4 linked regions of the Diceros bicornis minor genome follow. The protein of the gene in region 2 purifies or fractionates together with the protein of the main gene of each other region. This does not show direct contact. Links are inferred from orthologs where the notes say so. Each region holds a gene or a part of one and is shown on either strand. Other genes may lie near its edges.

Region 1 (7,932 bases), on a different chromosome or scaffold from region 2:
AAGCTTCTGCTAGCCAAGTTCACGCCTCCTTTAACCAGAATGACCTCTTGGAAACCAGATGAGCAGATAAAAGTCTGTCCTGCTCTAGGGCCAGGGAAGAGGGCCCTTCCTCAGATCTCAAAGGATTGGGGGGAGAGGGGTCACACCAGAGAGGGCTGCCCCCGAAGAATTAGAGGAAAGAGAAGGCAGGAGCAAGACAATGGGGGAGGAGTGGCCAATGTGGCCACTAGTTCCAGTCCGAAGTACTTTCAGAGATGGCACTTCCTATTGTCTGACCACAGCTCCTCCTCCTTGGAAGAGCACCCCCACCAGCATGTCATTCATGTAGTGAGAGTACAAAGAGCAAGCAAGGTACCCCAGAAGCCAGAGCACAACATCCCAGAGACAAGTGCCTCGTTCACCCTAGCAACCCAACCCATCAGACAGATGTCAGAGAATCATGCTTTTTTTTTTTTAAGTCTAGTCTTTAATTACTCTGCCCCTATCCCTAGTCCCAACATTTTGTAACTCCCACTACTCTTATCCCGAGGGCCTTAGGAAAGGTGGGGAGCCCTGAGGACTAAAGACGGAACATTCCCATTGCACATGCCCATTAGGGACTCTAACATTCCAATTCCAATTACTCAGAGACCCTAATGGGCATGTGCAATCAAAGCCTCAGCTCTAAGAACTGGGTGTCTCCATCTAACTTCTGGCAGCAGGAGGAAAATGGCTGAGAGAGTGAAATGGGCGAACAACGTGTGCATCCTAAAGAAGATGGCTGGTCCCTTTTCTTCACCCCAAAAGAGAAAGGACAAGAGAGAGGAGAGGGAAAGGAGGTGGGTGCTGCTTCTCTGGGGAGAGATAGATCCACTTCCACACTATCATGATGATGAGTACAGCTACGATGGGTGCCTGCCCCTTCCCCAACACACAGACATTTGCCCTCTTGCAAGCTCATCCCCTAATCCTCACCCTCAGATCTGGCCCCAGACCACAGCTTTATCCCAAACATGCTTCTTACCCGGTAAAAGGGAAACTCTGTGATAAATCACACAGATACACTTCCAGAAACTCCTGGAGAAACACCCTCCACTGCCCTCCCCAGAACTCCCATGTGACCTTCTCAGCCCCATGGGCAAGGAACCCAAGTTGTTCCTCACCAGATCTCATCCCTCCAGGCATGCTCCTTCCTCTTGCCTCCATCCCATACCAAAATCCCAAGACCCTCCGGGAACTGTAGGATCCTGGTGGCAGAGCAGAGTTAGCAGGCTCTGAAGCAGCAAACTCCAAGACAGCTTTCCAAGAGAATTGTGGCCTGAGGGGGCTGAAGTTGGGCTAGGAAGCCAAGAATGTAGCCTCTTCACCCACCAGAACCCAACCTATGATGGTGAAGGAGGAAGTCCCTCTTATTCTTCTCCCTGAGTCCTCCAATCTCCCAGATTCCTCTAGGACTACAACAAGAACCCCTTCCCTATTCCCCACAATACACCCTTTTCTAGAAAAACCCACCTCCCAAAATAGGCACCTCATAAGATGGCCCACTCGCTCCCACCCGTAGGTCTCAGATACTTAAGGCACTACCCTCAAACCCAGGCAGGGCCATCCCAGAAGCCTCGGAATCCTCCAGACAACACTCCCTTTGGGATCTCTGCCAGGAAAATCTGCCTGCAGAGGCAAAAGGTAGTTCCCCCAACACTCTCAAAAACACACACACCACTTGAGGCAGGCACACAGACTGGTACTTATATCTATCAACACAGGTTACACACAAGAGAACACAGATTCATTCACAAAGGTGCACACACACCTATCCAGGTATGTCCCATTCTGCTCTTACACACCCACCTTCCTCAGTACCTATACACCTCTTTCCCATAAACCCTCCCCAGTACACACACATAGATGCACATCCTTTCCTCAGAATGTACACATAAATACATATCCAAACACATGCAGACACATAGTCAGCCGCTTCCTGGTTGCACGTACACTCAGGCACCGAAAAACAACTATACCTTCAAACCCAGGGGCCCACCTGCAGGAGCATGCAGCACGTCAAGGCATACACACTCAAAAACAAAGAATCATGCACACTGATCCTCCACCAATCCTTTAAAACTCACTAATGCAGAGCCCACAGCCCCCTAAATAGGTAAATATGAGTGGGGAGAGGGATGCCGGCCTCCTGCCCCCTGGGCCCGGATACAAAGTGGGTCTTCTGCCACCAGCTCCATCCTAGAGCTGCACACACACCTCTTCTACTCTCCTTGGCCAGCTCCCCAGACTCCACATCATACCCTGAACGCACACCTGCCCCCATGCCTCCCCACACTCCCAAGGTGTGTATGCACCCCTAAACACCCTCGTCTTCCAAAACCTCCAGACTCTGATCCTACCACTGCCTCTCCCCCCACCTCCAACACACTCCCAGTCTCCGGATTCAACCGGCTCCCCCGGGATCATTAAGGCCCCTGCCCGGCCCGGGGCCCAGGAAAGTCCCCGGCTCTCCAGGCCCGGGCTCCGCCCCCTCCCCACGCGCCCCTTCCCCTCCCCAAAGTTGGGGGGGCACTCTGCTGTGCAGTGGGCGAACACCGGAAAGGGGTGGCCCAGAGCCCCTTCCCCCATAAACCACCCCCCTCGCTCGGGGGCTGGGCACCCCCTGGCCCCTTGCATGATTGTCCTCCTCTTCGGCTTCTTTTTTTCTTTCTTTTTTTTTGCAAACTTTGCCCGCGCCCCCTCGGCCCGGCACTCACCCGCCGCTGCGAACTGCCGGGTGGGCTCGGCGGGCGCCCCGCTCGGCCCGGCGCCTTTGTATCCGCAGCGCTCCGGGTCGCTCCGAACTCCGCGCTCCCGGACGGGCAGCGCGGACGATGGGGGGATGTTAAGGGGGGCTCCTGAGTCTGGTCACCCCTGTCCGTCCCAGACCGCTGCCTCTTCCCCCTCAAGGCCCCGGGGGCAGGGGGCCGGGGGGAATGGGGGGCGCTCAGGCTCCCATGGCGGGACCAAGGATCAAGGAATCAGGGATCAGGAATCAGATCAGGAGCCGGCGGCGGAGGGGGGAGGGGGCTCAGGGGGAGGGGACGAGAGCGGAGGGGGTGCAGGGGGCGGGGGAGCGCGCGCTCCCGGGTGCCGCCTCCCGGCTGTTCCCGCACTCGCCGCCCCTCCCGCCGCCGCGTCCATTGTCTGCGGCCCGGCTGTTCCCGGAGTCGCCGCTCCCCTAGCCTTTCAATTCCAGATGCCCGGCGGCCCTCCGCGATCCTGGGAATCAGCGGCGGTGCTGCGACCCCGGAGCCGAGTGGTGGCCAAGGGATGCCTCGATTCCTGGCCTTGGCCCAGCCTGCAGCCCCTCCGGGGACTGTTTTCCTCGACCCCCTGTCGGAGACCGTGGCCCCAGACCCCCGGGGACGGCCGTGTTCAATTCTTCTGGGCCACATACCCATCTACACGAAATCCAATGGAATCTGGGACGTGGAAAAATTGATTTTTCCCCCCTAGGGCTGCGAGAAGGGAGAGTCGTCCCTGATTTTAATTAGTGGCGAGAGACACTCCCCTCTTCCCGTGCATACGGGGATTTCCCTGACGCCAACACCACCACATCCCCCTGCTTCCAAAAATAATTTAATTACTCGGTTCTAGCTGCGAGCGGCGACCGCCCAGTCAGTCTGAGACGCTCCCTCATTAACACTTTTTCCTCCCCTCTGGTTTGAGCGTTTAGATTAATTACAAAGGGAACCCTGCCCTAGGGGAGCGGGGGAGGGGGGAGACGCCGAAGGCGCCAAGGAGTTTGGATGAAGGAACAGAGGGGCCCTTCTCCCAGGAAACCTCCCGGAGTTAAAATGCGTTGGTCTGTCGGGTCTCTAACCCCAAGTAGGCAGGGCTCTCGGCCCCAGAGGTTTCAGATACCTTGGAGTTGAGGGTACTACACGGGGATTATAGGGTATCACAAAATATTCGCCATAATGGGGGCATTTCTGCGTTAAAGTACTCCAAGAAACCAGTTGAGGTTGATGAAGTGGGGCAATAGACTGAACCCACCAAGAGTGACCCCCACCATAGAAGTCTGGGCTGTGGGAAGTCCATGTTCCCCTTGGAGTGAGTGAAAGCAAGAGTATTATTATATTATCATTAGTATTATTGCTGTGCAACCTGGCACTTACCTAGAATAGTAATAAGTACTTCAAAAGCACCTTCACACACTTTTCCCCAGGCAGGGTAGGGCCCTCTCAACATCTCAACATCCTCCAGCTTCCAATCCTGATCACTTCTCACCCAACCCTGTGATTAGGTCCCAAGGAAGGAGACTTCCAGCCTCTGTTCCTCACTCGTTTGGGGATTTTTGCTCCTCCCTGATGAAATTTTTTTCTGAGACCTAATCTCATCCCTTTTGGTCATCCATTCTAACCTCCCCAAAGATGAGGACAGAGCCATCTTCATCTGCATTGTGACCATTCAAAGATGGAGAACCTTTAGAAACACTTTCCTTCTCCTTATCCCAAATCCTTTCCTCTCCTCGCTCCGGGTTCCCACACTGTGGGTCAGCAAGTGACTCAGCACCAAGACTGCATGAAATGTGCAGAATCATCATTTCAGGTACCCAAGTCCCTGCATGCATGCACGGACTCAATTGCTTGGTGCCTGTCATGTGCTAGGCTGCACTGGGGGTCCCACAGTGACCATGACAACCAGGTGTATGAGGGATGAGTGGCAAGAGAGCTGGGGAGCGGTAAAGAGAGGTAGGGCTAGCTTAGGGTGTTCCCAGCCCTGCCCAGAGCACACCCCCAGACTGGGCAGCAAGTGTGTCATTTGACAGAGTGTCGGGGCTGCCCTAGCTGCCAGGGCCCTGGCTGACTATCCAGCAGGTTCAGTGTGAACTGTGTTCTCGTGATGCTACCCTGTTTCACAGGCCTCAAAAGGGTCCAAAGAATAAGAAACACAGCTTCTGATGCCAGAATTGCAAATCATTCTGTAGACTGGCCCACACCTAAAGCTCAAAACTTGAGTCAGGAAGTCAACAAACGAAGATATCAGACATCAAATTGGAATAAGCTCCGTCCCTCCTTTCTCTTCTCTGAAGAGGAAATTGGGGGCTTTCAATTCTATTTCTGTAACAAAAGCACTGGATTACAGAGGAGAGGTCCACCATTAAAATCTGATTTAATGTGTCCCATGCAGCAATTCCCCGGACTGCCCTCCACCCTCATCACTAGGATGGAAACCCATCTGGATTTCACACATCCTTAGTTCACAGGGTGAGGAAATGGAGACCCAAAGAGGAGGCCCACGTACCCTAGGGCCCAGGGGACCTAGCCTAACTCTTTAGGAGGGAGCTGGGCACTGAGATGACATTCAACCAAGATTTTCCCAAAGGGTCCAACTGCAGTGATAGAGGGAGGTCAGGAGCCTGAAGGACAACAGAGTGGAACAGATTGAACTTTGAATGCACAGCTCCTAGCTTTGAGGACATGGGCAAGCTTCTTAATTTCTTTAAGCCTCAATACCTATATATAAAATGGAACTAATAAGGTGACGGAAGGGACCCCCTCTGCATACCCATAGTGCCCCAGTCCATTCCCAATCAAAGGTCCCCTCTCTGTTAAGTGCCTAGGGGATTCCTAGTACTTTGGGGAATCCTGCTCAAGGAAGGGGGCTCCTAGACAAAAGCTAGAACCCTCAGTAAAAGCTCTTTCAACTCCACAGCTCATGCGCCTGAGGCAGCAGGGATGTAACAGGCAGACCACAGGCCTCTCAGGAGCCCTGGGAGGTTGCGTCTCTTGGGAAAGATGCAAAGGGCTCAAAAAGCGGCAGTGGACCCTCTCCAAGGGAAGGTCCCAGCTACAGAGAAATGCCTGCTTTCCTTGCAGATGAAGCTGTTCCCAGAGGTCAGGCCCAGACCATGGTGGCAAAGGTTAGGTCTTCTACTCTGACGAAAAGTAGGGCCCTTTTACAGCACTGCTGCTGAGAGAGGGGAATCCTTAGTATCTCGCTCAAACATAAAAAGCTTCACACCCTGGAAGCTTTTTGATGGCAGGATGGCCATCAAAGTTTTTAAATGTGAGTGGTTAGCAATTTCAGCCACCTCCCAGGTACAGCTGACCACAGTGGTGTACCCACATCCCAGGCTAGAATCACCATCTTCTTGCAGCCCTGCTGATAAAACTAGGAACAGTTCAATCTTCCAGGATAATTAGAGCTCTTTCCCCAGCACCCGCTTTCCTAGAACGGCTACTCTCAGTGTTTAGAAAAGTATTTCCAGATCCAGTCTACACTGTGAAACAACTGGATTTTTTTTTCACTTTTAATGAGAAACAAAACAAATAACAAAAAAAAACTTTAACTGCTTAAGAACTCTGGGATGACTCAGGGTTATTGTGAGGTGTATCTCTCTCTCCGGTAAGCTCTAGCTCTCTTTGAGAACAAACAGTGAGCCTCATTTATTTCTATGTTAATGGCACATAAACGTCACTGAGTTGGTATTAGTTTCCTTCCCTTCTAATTTCCTCACCTGTCCCAAACCTCTACCACTCCCTATTCACCCAACCTTTATCAAGTGTGAGCTTCCTCAAATCCCATCCCGTCACCGCCAATCTAAAAAGTTACCTACAATTAAACCTCTACCTTGAGTGAGGTTTTCCACCATGACTGCAGATTTTAATCATCTGGGAAGCTCTGAAAACACACCAATGCCCAGGACCCATCCCAGACTAATTAAACCAGAAACTTCCAACGTGTGGCCCAGATGTTGGCTTTTTTTTTCAAGTTGCCTCAGTGATTCTAATTTGAAAACCACTGAATCAAACTCTTTCTGAATCCCTTCCTCCTTTCTTGGCAGAATAAATGCCTCCCACCTCCCTTGCCTAGGACTAATCCCTCCAGGTGTGCGTTAGGTCCTGTCCTTTCCCACCTCCATTTCTCATCTTCATCTAGCAGAGGTAACAAAATAAAATACCTCCCTCCAGTTTCCTTTTGCTTCAGCCCTTTCTTTCCTTTCTTTATCATGCAACCTTCTTAAAAGAGTAGATTCCTCACCACCGTCCTTTACTCCTCAGCTCCTCGCAACCCAGCCATCCTTTTACTATCTTTCCTCCTCCTGACTTCAAATATTGATATTTCCTGGAATTCAGCCTTTGGACCTTTTCCTCCTCACCCTGCATGCTCTCCCAAAGTAATATCATTCTCTCCCATGGCTTCAGTCACTGCTTACTTATGAATCCTCCTAAATCCAGATCTCTCTGCTGAGCATCAGACTCATATTTCCAGCTTCCTACTGGACCTTTTAACCTGATTATTCTTTGGGTATTCCTAATGTAATAGGTTTAAAGGGAACACATTATCTTCCCTCCACCCCCATCCCCTTGGCTTATTTAGACCTTTTTCGCTTCCAAATTTGTATCATTCCCTCCCAATCTATCTTCCTCCCTGTTGCCAATGTGATTGTTCTGAAAGAGAAGTCAGACTGTAACTCCCTTGCCTAAAACAATCCAGTGGCTCCCTGCTGTCTACAAGATGAAGTCAAAAATTCTTGGCACTCTATGTAAGGACCTTCAGTCCCTGACTCTCTCCCTGCGGCCTTATCTCCTGTTACTCCCTGTGCACTCAAAGCCCAAACATTCAACACACATACATTCAAACTATACCCATCTACTCATTGTTCTCCCAATTTGAGGCTCTATTACTGCTTCTGCCTTCACATGGTGTTTCCTTTGCCTGAAATGCCATCCCCGTCCGTCTCTGCCTAGAAAGTTCTGCTAATCCTTCCAGACTCAGCTGTGGTTTTCTCTTTGACTCCTCCCCAACCTTCCGGAACAATGTTAGATGGCTCCTCCCTGAGAGAGCCTCCTTTGTGCTCCCAGAGCTCTGCATTTTATGACATTGTACGGTAATTTCTTATTTACATATCTGTCTGCCCAGCTGGTCTGTGAGCTTCTGAAGTCGAAGAAACAGTGCTTTATT
Region 2 (6,890 bases):
AAGGAGGGACCACAAATTGCTGGTCCCCTCCCAACCTGCCACAAACCCTGGGGGAGGGGGTAGAGAGGGTTTCATGTCCTCCTGCTCCCTCCAGTCCCCAAAGCCAAGTCCCTCTGGTGACTTATGTCCCTCCTAGAAAACGGAATCCCTCGGGTGCCTGGACCCGAGGTGCAAAAGGTCACAATTCGTCCCTCTTGCTCCTGGCCCCACACTCCCTTTGCTAGCTCAGTGTGCTTGTCTGCAGGGGCAGGGAACGCGACACTGAAATGAAATAATGTACGTGAAACCTCCCAGTTCACAGTCAACCATCAAGGAGCTGGTCTCAATCCCCAGAGACCAATTACCAGCCTGGGACCCCAACTTCTTTCGGGGATATGATTTGTCTCTGACAAGGATCCTGACACTTGAATGAGAATGTTAAAAAGCTCTCAGAATACCTTTTCTATGATAAAATGCAGAAAGGAGGGCTCAGAGACAGGAGCGAGGAAGCAGTGCGGGATCCTGAATTTGCCTCAGTGTTACCTTGGGTTCTCTCTCCTGCCCCAAGCTGTCCCCAAGGGCCAGCCATGTGTCTGTCCTGGCCAGAACCTGCCTTCTCCCTGCAGAGAAGTCCCCCCAGGCACCTAGGTTCACTGGGGTCCCCTGGCCTACTCTGCATCCCCACCCAGCACTGCATCTACCATATAGAAGCAGCCCAATAAATGCTTGCTGACAAGAATTCCTCAGCCACTCCAAAATGCCTTCAGTAACGTGACCTTTGACATTCCCCAGCTAATGTCTAATTTGCATACAGGAGTCCGTTTTAGGAGACTGCAAATCAGGAGAGACAACTCAGGATCAATACAGAGTATTAGGCACATTTTATTCTACTCTAATTCTCTGCAAATTGGTATTCCATTAACTGTAGGTGGGATTTATGGGAGCTCATTATCAACTAGAATATTTAACTACAACGACCTACTCTCTGTCAGATCATAGCTTACGGTTAATTTTCAACTAGTCAATCTCAGAAAGGTTCTAGCTTTCAGTCTACTTTACATCATAATTTAATCATCAGGAAAGTCATCTATTTGCGAGTCTCCATACAATAAAGAGCAGCTTGATGTAGAAGAAAAAGACCCACCCGTGGAACCAGAAGACGTGAGTTACATCCCAGCTACACCACACACTGTGTAATCGACAGCTCAAAGCCTCAATTTCCTCATTTGTAAAATGTGAATAACACCAGCCCCACGAGGGAGTTGTAAAAACTAAATGAGCTGACCCATGTGGATGCTCTCTGTGCAGTTCTATAAGGCTATACAAAGGTTAGTTATTATAGTAAAAAACATAAGATGAAATTCCCAAACAACTCAGGCTAATGATAGAAAGCACAGTGGTTCTAAATCGGTGGTTCTCAAGAGGAAGACAGGCTATTTTGCCCCTCCTTCCCGGGGCCATTTGGCTGTGTCTGGAGGCATTGCTGGTTGGCACAACTAGGGAGAGGGTTTGCTACTGGAATTTACTGGGAAGAGACCAGGGATGCTGCTAAACATCCCACAATGCATAGGACAGGCCCCACAACAAAGAATTACCAAACTCCAAACGGTAACAATCCAGAGGCTAAGAAACCTTGATCTAAACAATCACTGCAAGTTGGGTTTGGGAGGTTTTTAGAACAGAAATCTTCCTCACCAGGCTTTACTTTCAAGCATCATCTGCTTAAACATTTGCAAGATGGATCATTTTGCAAAACAGCTCTTTTGCAAGTAAAGCTGAAGTGCCAACTTCTGGAGTTTCTGAATGTATAAAACTGCTTTTAAAGAAGATGCTCTCAGGTTACAATTCGGCTAAATTGTTTTTCCAAAGCCTTGACTTCAGCAGAAGTTCTCCTGGGCACAAAGACAGGGTCTGTCACTCTGCCACTAGGCCCTGAAGATGCTTTCATAATTCTAATTTCCTGGTGAAATGGGAGCCACGAGGGTCTCTAAACGAATTAAATTCACATCACGCCGCCAACTGCTCGCTCGCTTTGTGCCGGGCAAGGTGCCAAACACCTCCACATAATTTATCCCACTTAATCCACCCGACAACCCAGTGAGGTGGGCATCATTACCGGCTGTTTGCAGGGGAGGAAATTGAGGATCAGAGAGGTTAAACAACTCGCCCAAGGTCACCAGCTGGCCACGGGGGAGTCCAACTCGAACAGAGGTCTCCAGTTTCCAAGTCACAAGCTCTTTCCACCACCTCGGAAAACCCAGGTGTCAAGTTGTCTCAACTTCCCATGAATTTTTAAGGCAACCGCAACTTCTCAGTAAGTTTAGGTTGCTGGAAATGCGAATTTCCGGGGGGCTGGGCGCTCTCACATACACCCCGCCCCCCACTGCAGCTGTCTCAGCACAGGTACCTGATAAATCATTCGGATCGCCCGCGGAACGGGGAGGATTTATTGGCGCTGGAGTTCGTGCCAGGCCCAGGAAATGCCATCTTTGAAAGCCGAGAGGCGGATTCGCCCGGGGAGCCGAGAAGGGCTGGCCGCCGCGCTTGGCTGGCTCCCCGCGGGCTGTGCGCCCCCTCGGCGCCCGGGGCCGCAATCGCGGCGACGCTGGGCCCCCCGGGGTCGCCGGCCGCCCGGGCTCGGTCGCGCCCGCCCCTGCCCCGGTTGGAGCGCACGCCCACGCCCCGCCGCCGCCACCGCGTCCCGGCCGCCCGCCCGGGACAGAGCCCCACCCGGCCCGGCCTGCTCCCTCCCGCCCCGGCCCCGCCAGGTGAGCGCGGCGGGGGCGCCCCCTCCCCGCCCCGACGTGGCGCCCGCCCCGGGGCGGCCGCGGCCGCCAGCCCGCCCGCGCCTTCGCCGCGCGCCCGGGGCCGGTGGGGGCGGGGCGGCGCCGAGCGCGCCCCCGGCCCCGCCGCCCCGCGCCCTGCCCCCGGCCCGGGGGGTCGCGGCGGCCCGTACCTGCAGCATCCGGGGGCGCGGGGCGCCCAGGTAGGTCGCGCGTGCGGGCGGCGCGGAAGCTCGCTCGCGGCCCGACCTGGCCGCCGTCTGAGCATGCCCAGTGCCGCCCGCGGGCGGCTCCCGCCGGCCGGGCTGGCCGCGACGGGCCCGCGCGCCGGGCGGGGGGCGGGCGCCCGGGCCGCCCTGCGGGGCGCTCCCGCCCCCGCCCCGAGCTGGCGCGCCCGGACGCGCCTCCCCGGGCCACCCGGGCTCCCATGCCGAGCTCCGTGCAGCGCCGGCTCCCCTTGCGCATGCACGCAGGCATTGGCTCCATAACCACTTATTGGGCACCTACTGTGTGCCCGGCCCACGGTGATTCCATACCTAGGAATGTCAAGCAGTCGGCGTTCAGCAAATCTTTGAAATGAGGAGTCGTCTCGCCCAGCGGCTTTGTGGTTTAGCAGGGGTCCTGCTGACTCCCAGTCCAGTGCTCATCCCATTCCACTAGTAACCTTCCTGGCTTAAACCCTCTTCCCAAGATTTATAGGCCCCCTACCTGATCTGTGCTGCTGCTTTCCTCTTCCACCTCATCTCACACCTCTCTTCCTGCAGCCCCAGGAGCACCTTTCTGTCCATCAAACACTCAGAACTTGGATAGCCTCAGGGCACTTGCACATGCCTCTCCCCTCCTCTGTGTGGGACGTCTTTGTGCAGCTTTTCACGTGGCTGGCACCTTCTCATTGTACATATGTCCCCCTTCTAGGAGAGGCTTTCCCTGACCCCCTTACTAAGTTAGCCCCCTGCTCCGGGACACTCTCCATGTCCTCACTTTATTTTCCTCACATTTATCACCATCCATTAATTTATTCAACAAATAATTATTGATCACCTACTCTGGTTATTCGCGCGTGGTGAACAAATAGACAAAAATCTCGTCCCCTGGTGGAGTTTGCGGGAAGAGAGGCAGGCAACAGACAATAAACATGCAAATAAGCAAACTACTATATAGTATATCAGAAGGTGGTAAATTCTACGAAGGAAAAAGAGCAGGGTAAGGAGACTTGAGGGTAGAGGGAGTGCCATTTTCAATAAGGTGGTCACATTGGGCCCTTGAGAGGTGACATTGAGAAAGTGACATTTTAGCCACGCAGAAAAACTGGGAAGAGCATTCCTGGCAGAGGGAACAGCCAGTGTCAAGACCCTAAGGCGCAGGACTGCTTAGGCAATAGCAAGGAGGGCAGAGCAGCAGGAGATGAGGTGGGTAAGTGACTTTTCCTGATTTGCTTCCTTATTGTGTATTCACCTCCGGAATTTCAGCTCCGCGGCTGGAGCCCTGCCTGTCTTTACTGCGGTGTCCCAGCCCCTACAACAGCCTGGCACACACTAGGTGCTCAAAAAGTGTTTGGGAATGAATATGTGAATGAAGGAGTGGAGTAATGGCTGGAACCATCCTGTCCGGCCCCAGGTGCCCAAGGTCCAGGGGTCCGGTCGGCCCAAGGGCCATCCGGCGGCCACCGGCAGCACCTAGCACTTCACTTTGGTCATTGTCCCCGAGTCGCATGTTGCTGGGTAGCGCCACCGCTGCGGGCGTCGCACTAGCGTCGCGTCGGGTGAATTCCGACGGAGCCAGGGAGTCCCAGGAACAGGACCCGCCCCGCGTCCCGCCCCGCCCCGACCTCTGGTCCCGGGCAAAACCTGGAGGCGCGGCGCCCGCCCTGCACCACTGGGACGGGCGGGGAGCGCACTGGGCATGCTCGGAGCCGGGCGGGGCCCGAGCGCCCGGGAGGAGGAGCCTCCTGGAGAGGCCGGCGACGCCCCTCGCAGAGGCCGGCTCGGCCCTCGACCCATCGCTGTACCCGCCGCCTCTTAGCGGGACTTGGGGGCATTTTTTCCAAAGCTCGGTGGGAAAGCTGGAAATTCAGAGTCCGGGAGAGGCGTTCTCTGTTGTCTCCCAGCTGCTGTGTGATCTGGGACAAGCACCTTACCCTCTCTGTGCCTCAAATAATACGAATACCTACCGCTTCGATCTGGGGCGCATGTGGGGATTGAATGACATCAAGAACATGAACATGTTTAGTCCACTTTGAAGATCCATTTCTTGAGTGCCTACCTCCATTATCTGTCATCCCCATACCAGTATGCCAAGGGCTGAGATGAGGAAACGAAGGTTAATGGATGTGTGAATTCTTGCAGTTGTCTCAATTTGCTTTCCACCAGAAACTAGGCTGAAACCACCTTTTCTTTCCCCACGGTGAACACTCATTAGCTTTTATAAACAGTGTTTTCAAATTGAGCTAAAACATATCCATACATTTAAGGGAAGAAAACCTAAATCTTTTAAAAATTGTGCATTTCAAATCAGCATAACAGAAACAGGAACAAAATTAAAGAATATTCCCCAAACTGGAAACATGTCAGCAAATAGAGAAATGATTAATTAGGTTATGGTATATTTGTTGAAGTAACTGTTTTACACTAAGTTAGACCATATTGCAACAGGGGAAAACTTACAGTGCAATGTTAAGTGAAAAAAAGCTGAAAACACAAATATACTACGTAAAGATTATGTCCACACATTTACCAAGACTAAAAGGAAATATGGGAAAATGTAAATAGTCTGATTTGGGGGGTAGTGGTCTTGGTTTTTCTTTTTAAGTTTATCTATTAATGTCACAATATTGTGTTTGCAATGTTTATTATTTTAAAATAAAATAATATAATAATAACAAAAATAATTGCTATTATGAAGCTCAAGTGTGATCAATATTTTACACATATTCTGTCCTTAATCCTTATGGTCAGTCTACAGAGTGGGTGTTTCTAGCTCAGTTTTACAGAAGAGGAAACATTCTACGAGCTGTTCACAGCTGCTAAGAGGCAGGGTCACTATTTGGATATAAGTTGGTCTGACCTCAAAGCCAGGATGTTAGGTTTTATAATACCTCCTCTCTCTGTGTAGTAGCTTACCATATATTGATCATAAGAGAAAACACACATCATTTCCTTTTGTGTCTTTTTTGCCTTGTTTTCTCTACCCTTTGATTTGTTTATAGGCTACAGATTACCTTTAAATGTTCTGGTCCTCTGTTACTGTTTTATTTTGGGGGCCAAAATGGTAAAGTCCACCCTTTTAAGCTGTGGCCCCTGGAGTGACATGATGTTATTATCAGCAATGGCAGTTGATCTTATATCATAAGCTCACAAATCTTATGCAAATGGGGCTTTTGGATGGACACGTAATCTTCTTAGTCTATATAGTTGAACCCAGCCAAATCTAGAGCAAACAGAGGCCCAGTTGGGAATAGGACTGTACCAAGTCTCAGATAATGGGGCCAGTCCAGAGAGGACCCACCTAGATTACTGTCCCTGGGCAATCATTTTGGAGGCAGAATCACAACATAATAGAACCACATGGTCCATGGACTCCTCAGGACTTTGCTGTGATGAAAAGATACAGGGCCGGCGCCGTGGCTTAGCAATTAAGTGCGCGCACTCTGCTACCGGCAGCCCGGGTTCAGATCCTGGGCGCACACCAATGCACCGCTTCTCCGGCCATGCTGAGGCAGTGTTCCACATACAGCAACTAGAAGGATGTGCAACTATGGCATACAACTATCTACTGGGGCCTTGGGGAGAAAAAGGGGAAAAAGGGAGGAGGATTGGCAATAGATGTTAGCTCAGCGCCGGTCTTCCTCAGCAAAAAGAGGAGGATTAGCACGGATGTTAGCTCAGGGCTGATCTTCCTCACAAAAAAAAAAAAAAAAAAGATACAGAGCTGATAGTCCTGATGATGTTTGCAGAGAGAAAGCCAGGACCCTAAAAGCAGCCCTCCTACTGCTGACAAGCTAAAAAAATTGTCCGCTCTCTCTTTTAACAGTACCTGGCCCAGAAATCACTAAACAACAAGCGCAAAAAGCCAAAGAGGGTCATTTCATTGGAGAGGAAGATGTGCCACAAACCCAATATGCATCACTAG
Region 3 (7,618 bases), on a different chromosome or scaffold from region 2:
CCCTTTCCTTTCCCCATTGGCTCCCTTGTGCCTTTCCTGTGCACAAGCTAATAAACTTTTACTTTCCTACTCCCGTTTGTTGTCTCTCTTGATTTCCATCCTGGGGAACGACAAGGACCCGATGTGCTGGTAACAAGTTCATATAGATTTGCCCCATAATAGTCATAATATGCAACACCATCTTTTAAATCATTCCTCTATGGCTGAACATTCTGATTGATTCTAAGATTTTGCTATTATAACACTGCACAATGAATATGCACTTCTTGATATGCACATGTGTAATATGTCTATAAGACGTATTCCTAGAAGAGAAGTGTTGGGTTAAGAGGATGTACATTTAAAATGTTGATACTCTTGAGTTGTCCTCCAAAAACCCTGTACCCATTCAAACTCCAATGAACAGTGCATGCGAGCGGCCATTTCAACACTGGATTTTACCAAAACTCTTAATTTTTGCCAACCTCATGAGTGAAAATTACATCTTTTTCTGTTGTTTGAATAAATATTTTGGTGTTTTTAGTAGTTATTATTCCACTACTTGCCTATTGATATACTTTCTATATTTTTCATTTTTTGTTTTCTCAGTTGATTTTTTAAATGATATACGTACAATCGCATGCTGTGGAATTTTAATCATTTCTCTGATAGATATTGCAAATATTTTTTCTCATTCTGCTGTTTGTCTTTGAGTTTGTTAAGTGTTCCAATTTATTCTTAAAAAATAAATCATGTACTAATTTTAAGTTTAATGAGTAAGAAATCCCTTCAGATACATCTCACATTGATTTGGACACATCAAGAAGTCATGACCATTTGTTTTATAAAATAGTGAGCCCTCTTCCTTCTCCTGATGAGATGTCTTGCTAATAATTAATATTATTGTGCAATGAGATGAATATTGTTTCATTTATTTATTTCAGGAAAGACAAGAAGCCTTCTCACAATTTTTTTTTTTAGTTTATAAGGTCAATTTCAATGTGTGTGGGGTTGTTCTCACACTACTAAGCAATTCTTGGACACTAGGTTGGTGTTGTACAATTCATCTCAATTCTGACATCTACGTGGAGAAAGTATGAGATTCCACAGGTTAAGGGCTCAGTTCTACACGACTGCCCTCCACTTCAGATGCCAATTGCAAGCCCAAGTTGTCACCTGTGCTTCCGACCCGACTGGCTATAAATCAGAGGTTGCCATGACTCCTTCCTTAGATTCCATTAACTTGCTAGAGCAGCTCACAGAACTGAAAAACTAGTTTACTCACTAGATTACAAGTTTATTGCGAAGAATATTAAAGGATACAAATCAACAGCCAGATGAAGCACACAGGGCAAGGTCTGGCACAAAGGAGCTTTTGACCTCGTGGAGTTTGGAGCCTGACACATGAGAGTGTTCTGGCTCACCAACCTGGAAGCTCTCTAAACCCTGTTCTTTGGGTTTTTATGGAGGCTTCATTACATAGGCATGATTGATTAAGTCACTGGCCGTTGGTGATTAATTCAACCTCCAGCTCCTCTCCCCTCTCCACAGGTGGAGGTTCAAGATGGTGGGACTGAAAGTTCCAACCAGCTAATCACATGGTTGGTTCCCCTGGCAACCATCCCCCATCCTCAGGTTACCTAAAATGCTCTCCAAAAGTCACCTCATTAACATAACAAAAGAAACTGTTATTGCTCTCATCTCCTGGGAAACTCCAAAGGTTTTAGGAGTTCTGTGCCAGAATCAAGGATGAAGAGCAAACATATATTTCTTATTATAGGTCACAACATCAGTGAACATAAGTGAGGCCATCTTGTTACGCTAAATGGCCCCAGCTCCTCCTCTGTGTAACTACTTGCTGCTCTACATGTACTCTAAAAATAAATCACATGCTCTCCTCATTTATGGCCTCCACTTACATATGTACTCCCCAATAGCTTGATAGATTAAAGCTTTGTTCTATGAGTTTCTCTCCAGCAACAGGCTGACCACAAGTGGGAAACACAGCTACAAGTTATCCATCACAGCTGACAGAAGAATGGAACAATGTTATGCCTGCAGCCCCTCACACTTGGAAACCAACATCCCCGGACCGCCTCCTTCCTGCCCATTTTCCCTGTATAACTGCCTCAAGATTCTGTAATTTTTGAAGATGGGTTTTTGAGACATTAATCTGCCATCTTCCCAGTTATGCTGTATGCTGGCTAATCGAATTAAAACTTCGTTTCTCGATCCCTAACTCGTTGTGATTAATCAGCTCAGATTGCAGCCAGCAGAGTGAGCCCATTGCTCCGTAACAACAATATCACAGGCCTTAGTCTAACTTCAAGTTGACTCTCAAATTCATTAAAGGCAAAAATCTGTCAGCAAGTGTTTTTTTACATTCTTCCAAGATGTGGGCCTACTGAAAATTAAATGGCCTTTTCACCACCTAATTCTATCCCGCAAATTTGAAAGCAAAGTTTCAGATCCTGATAGAAGCAGATATTATAGGTTAGAGCAAAGACAGCTAACACGGTGTCAAGTGTGAGGGATTCTTAGTTTGCTGCTACCTGAATCTGAACTGTTACTCATCTTCTCTGTATAAAGTGAAGATAAGAAAGTGCAGAGTGGCCCTGAAATCAAACTGCCTTCAAATTCCTGTTATGCCACTTGCCAGCTATGAATTTTTTTTTGGTGAGGAAGATTGGCCCTAAGGTAACAGATTGTCCTTGAGCTAACATCTGTGCCAGTCTTCCTCTGTTTTGTATATGGGATGCCGCCACAGCATGGCTTGATGAGCAGTGTGTAGGTCTGTGGGAGATCAAGATTTGGCCACCCTGAAATCTATCTCTTTACCTTGGTTGTTTTCTCTAGGGACATTTGACCTCCCCCACTAACTGCCTAAAGAATTTGACATGGTGGCTCCTTCCTGGAACAGATCTATCATGATGGCTGTAAAGATAACGTAGGGTAAATGTTACAATAGGAAAGGCACCAACAAGCCCCTCTTATCAGAAGTTCTGTCTCTCTGGCCACATTCTCTGGATGACCCTGCGAGGAGTTGCCAGACAATCATTTACATTTATAAGGGAAATCTCCATTTGTAAAGGTATCTCCCTCTCTGTTTTGAGAAGAGAGGGGGATGGCCTCATTTCTAGAAACTTATCAATGTGGAAGTTGAGGCCTTAAAGCTGCATAATAACCTTACTCTCGTTTACTGTGCTTTAGTGGTAATCTCCTGTAACTGACTCCCCCCACCCCCAACATCCTCCTTTGTCATTGGCTGAACATGGTATTTAAGACGAGAATTTCTGCTATTGTGTTGAGAAATGCAGTGTCCCTGCTTTCTCCCATGTGTACATGTTATCAAACTTGGTATTATTTTCTCCTGCTAACCTGTCTTGTTAATTATTTGGCCAGCCAGAAGAACCTTAAGGAAAAGGGCAGAGGGAGATTCTCCCTCTCCCCCGACACGTCCATGCCCGGGATCGGTATCGGAATCTTGGGCGTGAATCTTGGGCCTCTGAAGCAGAGTGTGCAAACTTAACCACTACACCACCGGGCCGGCCCCTGCCAGCCATGAATTGTTGAGCAAGTTTTCTGATCATTTAAAATCTCAGTTTTCTATTTTTAAAATAGTGTAATAATAGTTGTGAAGAAAAAAATGACAGAAAATTTCTAAACCATCTAGCATATGATGAATCCCTAGTAAATACAAATTAGCTCTTATTATTATCAACTGGGGTAAATAATATTTATCTTATATCTATAAATACTGCTATCCTCTTTTAAGCCAAATTTGGATAAAGTCATCGCAACACTGGTATATTTGCCAGCAGAGATTTTTAAAAAAATTATGACAGTGAAAATAAAAATATAGCATCATGTAGGTCTTCAATTTGAATTCTTATGGTAAAACTATAACAAAACACAATCCGTGCTAAGAATTTAGTACTACAGACGGATGAACTTGGAAACATAACGCACTGTCTTTGTTAGCTTTTGTTAGCTGGCATCAGGTATTATATACAACGTAAAAAAACATATTTTAGTAGCTACTACTGTTTTGGGTTCCAATATATACTGTTTAAAGCAAAGATAATCAAAATTTTAAAAATTGCGTGTATTTGTGTGTGTCTAACATTAGTTGAGTGATTACTATACTCCAGAAACCTGTTGCCCTACACAGCTTAGGAGTTTTTTGTTTTTCCCTTTTTGTTTCCTACCATGCTTAACCAAAAAAAAAAAAAAAAAAAAAAAAAAAACTGCTTGGGAGTAGGGATGAGATTGGAGACGGGGAGGTAAGGGGTTTGTAAGCGCTATAAAGTTTTAAAATCCCCCAATTTCCCCTGCCGTTGCACTATTTACAGTTCGGCATCAACTTCTACTACCTCCAGGAAACTCTCCTTGCATCTCCCAAATCCACGTGGAGAAGAGAGACAATAAAGATGCTGAGGACAGTTTGCCCAGACTTGCCCTCAATCTGGGAAATCTGACTCCTCGAGCTAGAAATTCTTAAACGTAAAAGGCAGGGGGCTGGGCCTGCGTGGGATGAGGCGAGAGCAGAAATCCCGTCCGGGCGGGCGCCGGGCCAGGAGCACATTCCCCCCGCCCTCCGCGCCAGCTCCTCGCGGCCGGGAAGCTCCTCCCCGCCTTTCCTTCCTCCTCCCCCTCCCTCTCGGCGGCGCGGCGGGCGAAGGCGAGAGCGCTGCGGTATTTTGTCCCGAGCGGCGACCCCTCCTCCGGGCGGGCTGCGGCGTGCGGCGGCCGCGTCCGTGGCAGCCGAGCGCTGAGGAGAAGCCGCGGCCGGCCCGGCGGCCCGAAGGCCGCCAGAGGGGGAGCCCGGGCCGCCCACGCGCGCCGTCGGAGAGGCGGACGCGCCAGCGCCCCGCCTGGCCGCCGGGAAGGTGGAGGAGGCTCCGCGCGCTGCCCGCGCCCCGGCCGCCGCCGCCGCCCCCCTGGCCCTGCAGCCGCCGCCGCCGCCGCCTCGGGCTCCCGCCGCCGCGGGCTCGGCGGCCCCGGCCGGGGAGGGAGGGCGGCGCGCGCGGCCGGAGCCGCCGGAGATGGCGGGAGGGCACTGCGGCGGCTTCGGCGCGGCGGCGGCCGGCAGCGGCGAGATCGTGCAGCTGAACGTGGGGGGCACCAGGTGAGGCGGCGGGGACCCGGCGTCCGGGAGCGTGGGGGGCGAGCCGGGTGGGGAGCGCGGGGCGCGCCAGGCGGGAAGAACGTGGGGCGGCTCTCGGGTCGCTGAAGCCTTGGCTCCGGGCAGGGGGAGGCGGGAGGCCTCCTGGAATCCCCGAGAGCCGGGCCCCTGTGGCCGGGTCGCCGCCATCCTAGGATGCCCACCTTTGTCCCTGCCGCTTTCTAAGGTGCCCGGCGAGGAGGAACATTATATAGCCTCCCTTACTCAACCTCGGAGTGTGTTTGAGCAATTTATTTCGTAGCAGCCTGGCCTTTCGTGGTTTGGCTCTTTCCCACGAACCTGCCTCCCTCTCTCTTCGGTCAACCAGGTGTCTGCTTGCTTGGACGAGAAACAGTCCAGGGTTCTTTTCTTTTCCACGCCTCATCAAGGGCTGTGTGTCATCTCGAAGAATTTCGGTGGAGGGAGTGCAGTAGATTTGCAGGAAGGACATCATGTTTTATTTTCGGAGTTTGTTGGTGCACGGCTCTGAGGGATCGGATCAACTTTCAGGGCGATGTGTCCAGGAACTGCACTTGGAACAGTTGGCTCTGGGAAGCTTTGGATGCTGGCAGCGTGTGGCGCACTCGTAGTAAACAGACTGAAAGCTCCTCTGGCCTTCCACGCGTTTCTATGACTTTTATTAAGCTTGTTAGGGAAAAAAATCATATTTCTGTGGATTTGCTATGGCTTCTGAGTCACTTCTCAGAAATGGGAGTGTGCAGCTCTGTTTGAAGGACGGGGTAGTTGACTGTTAGGCTTGGTGGGAGATAACACGATGAAATGCTCTGGAATATAGTATATTTTGCTGTGCTCGAGAATATGAAAGGTTTTCAACATCTAAGACTTTTAACCGATATTTTTGAAAATGCAAAATGGCAACAATGTGAACCATTTTGATAAAAATGTATAGTGTTTTAATTCTAAACATGTAATAGTTTTCTAAGTGTCCTAAAGAATTCAACATAAGAAACAGTAATTCTTCCTTCCTTCCCTGCTCTTTTTTTCCCCTCATCTCCCAAAGCAAAACTGTTTAATAGTTTAAGAAATTACATTGTTATCGCCGCTGTATAGATACCAATCTTAGGGAAGAAATGGATATTTTTCTGAGATCACATGAAAATATTGCAGGTTTGGTAACTTGCGGATGCAAAAACGAAATACCCTGCAAGAGTAGGCCTTCAATGTGTTAATACGAAAGACTAACACTGTAGTCATTTAAAATCCCTACACTGGTTTCTAATTGCTATCAGTTGTATATTTCTTATTAGGCATTCTAAAGGACATAGAGTATTATGATAAAAATTAAACAGTAGTTATTTATTGTATATTGAAAGCCAGTGGCTTAATTATGAGTGAACTCTTGTTAATGACCGTAGATTCAGTTTCAAATTTTACCTTATATAAAAGGCAGCTATTTTGGAGCTGGAACGTTTTATTACTTACGAAATTTGATTTGATCAGGTTCTCAATTTTTCTAAGTGGTATTAGCAAAGAATACAAAATAAGATAAATACATTATTAGATTAAACAATTTAGAAGACAGGTGAAAGTTGTTACATAGGAATGAGAAAGTAAAACCGCACAAACTTTAGAATTGCTAGGATAAAATAGTTTATAAGTAATGATATGGCGTATAGAAAACAGAACATCCAACTCAGAGTGTTCTAAGGCTATTTTCTTGAGTTACTTTGAATCATAGCCTGTTGCAGCATTTTAGAGCTAGGAGGGATCTAGAAGTCATCTATATCTTGTGCAAAAAACAGATTAACACAGTCACTTAAGTACATTGTAAAAGAAAAAATCCTGATGTGATTGTCTTTAAAGTTGAAGAATTGCCACTGGGAGAACCATCTGTGGTGCAGAAGTGAAGTGGGCTCTGAAGTGATAGAATAAAACTCAAAAGGAGAGTTTATTGTAAGCAGAGAAGCGTATGCCATAGGTAAGATCTTTTTTTTTTTCTTCCAAGAGGAGAGAGAGATGAAAATGGACATACTCAAAGGAGTTATAGAAATGACCAATTTTTATGATTTATTTAACACTTTGGGATGATTCAGAAAGTAGACAAGATGAGGCTTCATTTAGAGTTGTTAATATGCATTATTTCAAAAACAAACTAATGAAGTGAAAGAAACCCAAGATGACTCAATTTGTGATTAATTCTTTTAGAATAAGTATGATTTGAGGCCACATGAGAGATGTCTGGGACCAGCCAGTGGGGGACTCGTGGACAAAGAACTTTGGAGTCAGACAGATAGGGGTTCCAGTTCCCAGCTGTTACCTCTAACTAGCTTAGCAACCTAGGGCAAATTATTTTTTATTGCTTAGTTTCCTAAAATGTAAAATGACAATAATAGTACTAGCTTTACAGACTTGATAAAGGAATTTGAAGTAATAAATGGGAAATGCAAGGATTATTAGCATTATCAATAGTAACATTGCAGAATAAATAATTTTGATTAGATTGCTTCCAATTAA
Region 4 (6,896 bases), on a different chromosome or scaffold from region 2:
GGAACTTGTGGTCTATAAACCATAAAACACCATCCAGGTCACTGATGTGAGGATCAGAGGGCTTGTGGCATTTGTGACAAACCCAATGATTCTTTCACTACAACAGAGCTCTTATAAATGAATGATTCTGGGCCACTATTCTCAAGGAAAGAAAACGTCAACTTCATTTTACCTGTCTTGCCAATGATTTCAACTCAGCTTCCCAGAATAACTGCTCTTGGCTCCAGTCATTAATTACCTCTGAAACACCTCCAGCAGCTGGGTATAGATGTCTGAGAGCTGTGAATGGTTAACACGTCTGGGGTTCTATGATGTATATTTGTTTTCAAGTGACTCCCTTGTCCCGTTAGATTTTTAAGGTTCAGAAAAATAGATTTCACAAGTACTACCTCCTCTGTAAATCTCATGGTGCCAGGTCCAATGACCGCTGTCCAATAAGCAGGATTCAGAAGGACACTGATGGGGACAGACAGCAGCAGAGCACACATGCACCATTCCTCAGGCTTCAAGCAAGACCAAAGCCACTAGCAGAAACATGGTCCAGCCTCGAGTCCACCTCATCCTGTCTTGTCCACCTTCTGGAAAATGGCATAGTACCATGCCCAAATCACATGCCCATACACAGCTAGTCTCCTAACCACAGCTAGTTCACTTTACAGAGACAGGACCGCGATAATAATCTAACAGCTTACAGTTATTGAGTGCTTACTATGTGTTAGGCACTGTTTAAGTGATTTGCATGCAATGTCTCACTTCATGCTCAAAACAAGCCTTATAAGGGAGATAAAATATTAATTTCATGTTACAGTTAAGGAAACCAAGGTCATACACCTGGTGAGCGCTGGAGCCAGGGCTTGAACTCTGAGAGTTTAATTCCAGAACCTGTGCTCTTAGCTAAGGAAAATTTATAGCAATGTAGCAATTACCAGAATTGTTTATTTACACAGAGGAGGGTAGGCAACAATCATCAATTGTCCTAAACCACACATAACCCACAAACAATTTTGCAATTTCAACTCCTACTCACAGGTTCAGTGTCCCAAGCACTGTGGGGAGTCCAGGAAAAAAGAAACAAATCTGAAACAGTTCCAGCTCCTAAGGAGCTCACAGCCCAAAGGTGGAAACCTGCTATTAAAATACAATGTGGTAAGGACCCATGCACCCCAAATGCGGCTGAAGTCTAGGGTGACAAAAGGGTGTGTTTGTGAAGGGGAGGGAGAGGAGAAGACCATTCTTCACCCAGCGCTGTTTCTTCAACAGACCAGGATGACACGGGATTGCTGCTTGTAAAGAAACTTTCCTTTATGGTTTTGTCCTGTTGCTCAAATACATAACACAATAAATTTTATTTCTCCCATTTTATTTACAAATTAAGTCGTAACCAAGTCACACTATCAACACTCTGAGAATTTCACACAAGATGTTTTCCCTAATTATCCTTAGAGACAGCAAAGTTTGGGAATGCTAAATGTTCATGGATTTGTGGTGTTATTTCTTTGAACTGTAGAATAAAAGTTTCCTCCCACAAATCAAAGCCCCAACGATATCACATTGATTTAATTTAACTCTAAAAACTCTAATTAGTGGTTACATAAAATGACTAATTACGTCTCCCTGAATTCAGACAGTTTCTGCCATCTCACTTAAATAGCCTAGGAGCTGTGTAATCAACCCACCCACTGGATGGAGAATGCTAATTAGCATTGTTGATTGGTGACACAAGTTATAATATTTTCCAGCAACCCTATAAAATTTATAAACATATCAGTGAAAATGCCAGATTCTTTACAGCTTACTAGCTTTTGGAATAAGTGTCCAAAACACATGCATTTTCCAACCACAGCCCCGCCAAAAGGGTTTAACAAAATGCACGTGCCAGCCACACAATCATCATAATAATGCGCTCTAACATCTCTTAACGAGCAGCTAAACGAGCTCACAACACCTTCGCGGCGTGGGCATTATACCTGGTTTGAAGATGTGAAAACTGAGCAACAGATTTCTCGGCTCCAAGTCTCACTAGCTCATCTCCGGGCGGCCAGGCCGCGGCTCCGCCCCGCTCCTGCCTCCAGCACCGACACGTTTAAATTTTTATAAAGCTTCACACTTCTCCGGGCGCGCTGCTTGGGGCAGTTCAAAGACTGCAGGAGAAAATGAGGTCCTGCCCGTGGCGAAGGCTGCCCCGGCGCGGTGAGATTTCTCCAAGTGGCACACTCCGCGCAGACTTGCCGGTCGCCTCTGCTCCACCCCGGCGTTTTTGAAAGTAAACTCCTACCTGCCTGTTGCGCTCTCCGATGCGCAACCGGACTCGCCCCCCCCAGGCCTCCGGGGCCGGCTCAATTTTGTCAGCGGGGTGTGAACACAGGCCAGCTCTGTGCCGGCTTCTGGCCCAGGGCCGGGCGGCCCCCGGGCGCTGGCGGTTACGGGGTCGAGCTGCGCGGCGGGGTGGGAACCACGGTGCGCGCCCGGCTCCTGGGGAGCGCAGGGCTGCCGGCCCCCGCTCGCACGGCCGCTCCAGCCGCCCGGTGCTCCAGGAACGCTCGGCCACTCCCTGCCGGCCGGAACGCGCACCCCGAGGGCGCACCCCAAAGTGCAGCCGGGAAGAAGGGGGAGTCCGAGGCGTGGGGGGAATGCCGGGACCCAGGAAGCGGTGTGCGGCGGGGAGCGGAGCGAGGGGCAGGAGGGGCGCACCTCGCGGGGATGGCAGAGGAGTGGGATCCCGGGAGCAGAACACGGGGTGCGGTCAGTAAGAGGGGAGGCGGCTCCGGGCCAGAGGCGGGAGGAGGCGGTGACCCCGCGTCTGGGGTGGGGGTGCGGGAGGAGGGCTCAGGAGCTCGCAGGGTCCGGGGTGGGGGCGTCTCCCTGCGGAAGGTCTGCGCGCTGCTCGTCGCGTCCGGCCTCCCGCGGGACTCACCTCCGCGCCGGCCGTGCAGGCTCCGCGGCCCGCGGTCTCGGCTCACGGCGGCCCCGGCTCTGCGGCCTGCGCTGGGCTCCGGTACAGGCAGAGCCCCGCCGCCGCCGCCACCGCCGCACTGCTGCTTTCCGCTTCCTGTCCCGGCGCCGCCCCGCAGCCCGAGCCCAGCCCTGCGAGCCCGGCGCGGCCGCGAGCCAAGAGCAGCGAGCGCTGCCGGCCCCGCCGAGGGCCCGGCCCACCTGCAGCGGAGGGCGGGGCCGGCCGGCCTCTCCCCACCCCGCAGCCACGCCACACCCGGGCACGCTCACGCGCGCACACAAACGCGCGTGCGTGCACACTCCTACACACACAGACCCCAGGGACTGACCACACCCACACCCACACACACACACACACTCACTCACATTCACTCACTCACTCACCCTCACATCATAAACACATGGCCAGGGAGTGACACCCACCCAACAGCCCAACGTACTTGCCCCCTCAAACTTACAGCCATACACACATACTCACAATCATGCACAAAATCCAAGCCCGTTTGCCCTCACGGGAGCCCCAACAAACATATTCACACGGCCCGGAGGCTAACCGCCCCACACACACTCGTATACACACATTCCAAGAACTGACCCACAAATATCCATATACAACCACCTCAACCCATATACACACTCCCACTTAAACTCACATGCAGCCCAGGAAATGACCAGGCAAATAACCATACACACCCGGGCCCCCATAGCCAACCCTCTCCCTCCTCCTCTCCTAACAGAGCAGTCGCTGCCCCCCAACCCCAGTCTCATAGAAACTACTGGAAGAGCACATCTCTGAAGGCAGGCAGCCCAGGTTCCAATCCTGATTCAACCAGGTCTGCTTCCATCTCTGAGTCTGTTTCCCTGTCTGAAAAGTGGGAGAGGATGATAATGCCAACCTTGCAGGATTGTGGTGAGGATTATGGAAAGTAGCTTGTGCCCAGTAGGCACTGAACAGCTGTCAACTATGTATATGAATATTTGCATTCTTCTTACTTCAATATCTTGTGTGGATAGGGTTAGGGATCCACGTGGAGAGTGTGGAATCTGGCTGGGACCTGAAGCTGCTTACATGACCCAGTTCTCGAGCCGAGATGGTGTATAATGAAGTACTGTGTACTGTGGGCAGTTGGGGTGGGGAAACACACCCACCCTGAACTAGCCTAGTTCAGGGAGCTTGAGTCCCCAAAGCCCTCACTCCCAGCCCCACCTCTTCCCCACCCCCTCCAGTCCCATTCTCTCTCCCATATATTGCACTTCTTCAGAGGACATATGTTCAATGCAGTCAATCTTGACCCCTCCCCAGCCCGCCACCAGGCTTCACTGCTCACTCTGGCAGCCCAGGACATCTGCCTCTCTCCCTCACAAACCTCTCCCCTGTCTCCAGAGGGCTAGGGCTGACCCAGGCAGCCATCTTCTTAAGGGTAAAGCCGGTTGTCTATCCACCTGAATCAGTGCTCAGATACAGGAATGTAGAGCTTTATAAAAATGTGTCTCTTTCATCTTTAAAATGTAAACCCTTCAAAGTTACAATGGGCCAGGGATTTCCAATTCTAGCTCTGCTGCTCCTGAATAGCCGCCGTGTGATATACAGATCCTCCGTGCATGTTCGTGGAAAGTGATTCTAATTCACTATAGTTTAAGTAAGCTACCTTGCCATGTGGTGCTTTTGTGGCAAAGAGGGGTAGTGCACAATAAACTCTATTTTAAGATAATAAATTCACCTTTAAATGCCATCTACTGCTGGTTTTGATCCAACAATCTCAAGTATTCAAGTTTAAAAGGTAAGAGGTGGACAACTTCTCAGGACCTGAGTGATGGTCTGTATGGCCTGGAGGCCTGCCCTGGCTCCCACTGTCTGTCACAAAGTGAGTCAGCATTGCTCCAGGTTTCAGCAGGCTTATACAGCTCTTGCCTCAAGTCCAGTTCTCCAGCTTAACCTTACTCAGTAATAAAGGTGATAAGTGGGCTCCATCTGCCACTCCTCTGTCTCACGTAACCATTTGTTCCAAACTCAGCTAGGGAAGTAGGATACTATGTATTGGGTGCTCTTAGGACTCCAGCATGACTGTATGTTCCACAAATTCATGAATATATTTCTCCCTTTCTGCCCATTCTCACAGCTTTCCCAAACCTTAGAATGCTACCCACTAAAATTCTTCCTGTCTACCAAGATCCAACTCAAATGCCATCTCTTACACAAAGCCTTCCCCGGTTCTCCCAACCAGAAAATATTCTCTTCACCTATTTGAATTCCCATGGCTCTCTGGATTTTTATACTTACCTTCTTACCTCGTATTGGTTATTTGCTTCTCACTCTTCAATAATGTATAAATACCATGTCTTATTCATCTTTTTTCTATTGCAGATCTTTCCACCTAGTAGTTACTTTAAAAAATACTTAGCAAATGAATGAATGACTATAAAATATCACTTGCCCTTGGGAAGTTAATAAGCTCACCAGGGAACAATCTAGTTGAAAAGTTATGACATAGGCACATAAAGATAGTTGGCAACAAAAGAGAATATGTAAAATGCTAAATGCATTAAAGGCAGACTTTTTAAGAAGTCACTTATCCAGCCTCAAGAATTCTGAATACACCTGAAAAACAGTTAAGTGAGAAAGGCCTCTGATCAACAAAATAGATTGTACAAAATCCATGCTTTAAATTGGATAGACTTTATAAATAGCAGAATCTCTCGTATACTCGGCAACTATTTACACATAGTTTACAAACATTTCTAAGAAGTTTCATCATCTGAGTCCTAAGCCCACTATAGATTAGAAACATATTAAAAGAGAAGGAGGTGATGTCAGGAAACCCCAGGGACTGCAAAGGGGTCATTGTGAAGATTGTTTAATCACAAAACTCATGCTCTTTCTTGTTACCAGTTACTCCCCCTGGCACACTGCCTCATTACAGAATAATAGTGTTCATAGTGATGACCTTGAGTTATGAAGGTTAGATGGATATTCTATATACAGTACTTTAGGAAGACATGAAAATAATATTAGAAAAATTTCCATCCAAAATGTTTGAAATGTTAGCGCTGATTCTTTAAAGGGCCATTTTCTGTAAAATCTATGTGTAGGATCTGTTTATATGTTGATAACACCAGGGATGAGGTGCTAGGCTGTAGATTATTAGTGCCCAAGGAGAGTGACACGGGCCTGGCTGGTCAGGGTCACCTTGTCCTCACGTTGAGGAAAGAAAGGAGTGGGATAGGCATAGGTGGAGGACAGTGGCTGGAACAGTGGCTGGCTTATCTCAAGTGCTTAATAAATATGAGTGGAATAGGGGGTAAACGGTGTTTCTGTTTGGAGTATGGGCAGGGGTGTGGAGAGAGCGGTGTCCGGGATATAGTCAAGGGCAGTGAGCAGAGCAGTTAGGCTCGAGACAAGGACTCATGCTGAAACGTAGAGGATTCAAAACTGAGTGGCTAGGATTAGAAGATGGAGAACTTTGAACCCAACACTAGTGTTTGAACTTTCTTAAACAGGCTGGCAACATGGTATTCATTCATCTTTTCATTCATTCAAAAACTTAGACTTAGTACCTACTGCGAGCCAGGCAATGTAACTACTAAGGATACAAAGCTAGATAAAGTAACATTGATCAGTGAGTCAACAATTTATTCAACAAATATTTATTGAGCAGTTGCTATGTGCCAGTTACTAGTCTAGGCTCTGAAGATACATGAAAACAGACAAAAGCTTCTGCCCTCATTGAGTTTAAATTCTAGTGGGGAGACATGGAGCAACATGTGTAGTGTGTCAGATGGTGACAGGTACTAAGGAGAAAACAAAGCAAGATAGGGGATGGGGGACTGTGGTGTGTCCCTCTCTCTGGGGAGGCTCCGGCTGCTTGAACAAAGCCTTGCTATCGAATATGAGAATGCTGTGACTGAGACCAGAGGCGGGACGGGACGCTGTGGGGGCACAGGGA

The links.
Region 1: the proteins of PTPN3 (region 2) and VANGL2 purify together in Homo sapiens (affinity purification with mass spectrometry; 3 studies listed by BioGRID and IntAct, with this or other methods). This does not show direct contact. The link is inferred for Diceros bicornis minor from reciprocal best matches to the Homo sapiens genes PTPN3 and VANGL2.
Region 3: the proteins of PTPN3 (region 2) and KCTD3 purify together in Homo sapiens (affinity purification with mass spectrometry; 4 studies listed by BioGRID and IntAct, with this or other methods). This does not show direct contact. The link is inferred for Diceros bicornis minor from reciprocal best matches to the Homo sapiens genes PTPN3 and KCTD3.
Region 4: the proteins of PTPN3 (region 2) and VANGL1 purify together in Homo sapiens (affinity purification with mass spectrometry; 4 studies listed by BioGRID and IntAct, with this or other methods). This does not show direct contact. The link is inferred for Diceros bicornis minor from reciprocal best matches to the Homo sapiens genes PTPN3 and VANGL1.

Annotation. Positions count from the first base shown.
Region 1 is NC_080743.1:65,045,649-65,053,580, reverse strand, and holds the start of VANGL2 (vang-like protein 2), read right to left. Parts: upstream 3,005-7,932; 5' UTR 2,736-3,004; intron 1-2,735. UniProt on the Homo sapiens protein: Involved in the control of early morphogenesis and patterning of both axial midline structures and the development of neural plate. Plays a role in the regulation of planar cell polarity, particularly in the orientation of stereociliary bundles in the cochlea.
Region 2 is NC_080767.1:18,392,806-18,399,695, forward strand, and holds the start of PTPN3 (tyrosine-protein phosphatase non-receptor type 3), read right to left. Parts: upstream 3,006-6,890; 5' UTR 2,936-3,005; intron 2,541-2,935; exon of another isoform or gene 2,387-2,540; intron 2,359-2,386; exon of another isoform or gene 2,096-2,358; intron 1-2,095.
Region 3 is NC_080777.1:17,191,881-17,199,498, reverse strand, and holds the start of KCTD3 (BTB/POZ domain-containing protein KCTD3), read left to right. Parts: upstream 1-4,612; 5' UTR 4,613-5,024; coding exon 5,025-5,107; intron 5,108-6,977; exon of another isoform or gene 6,978-7,082; intron 7,083-7,618. UniProt on the Homo sapiens protein: Accessory subunit of potassium/sodium hyperpolarization-activated cyclic nucleotide-gated channel 3 (HCN3) up-regulating its cell-surface expression and current density without affecting its voltage dependence and kinetics.
Region 4 is NC_080743.1:48,187,507-48,194,402, reverse strand, and holds the start of VANGL1 (vang-like protein 1), read right to left. Parts: upstream 3,015-6,896; 5' UTR 2,915-3,014; intron 2,453-2,914; exon of another isoform or gene 1,968-2,452; intron 1-1,967.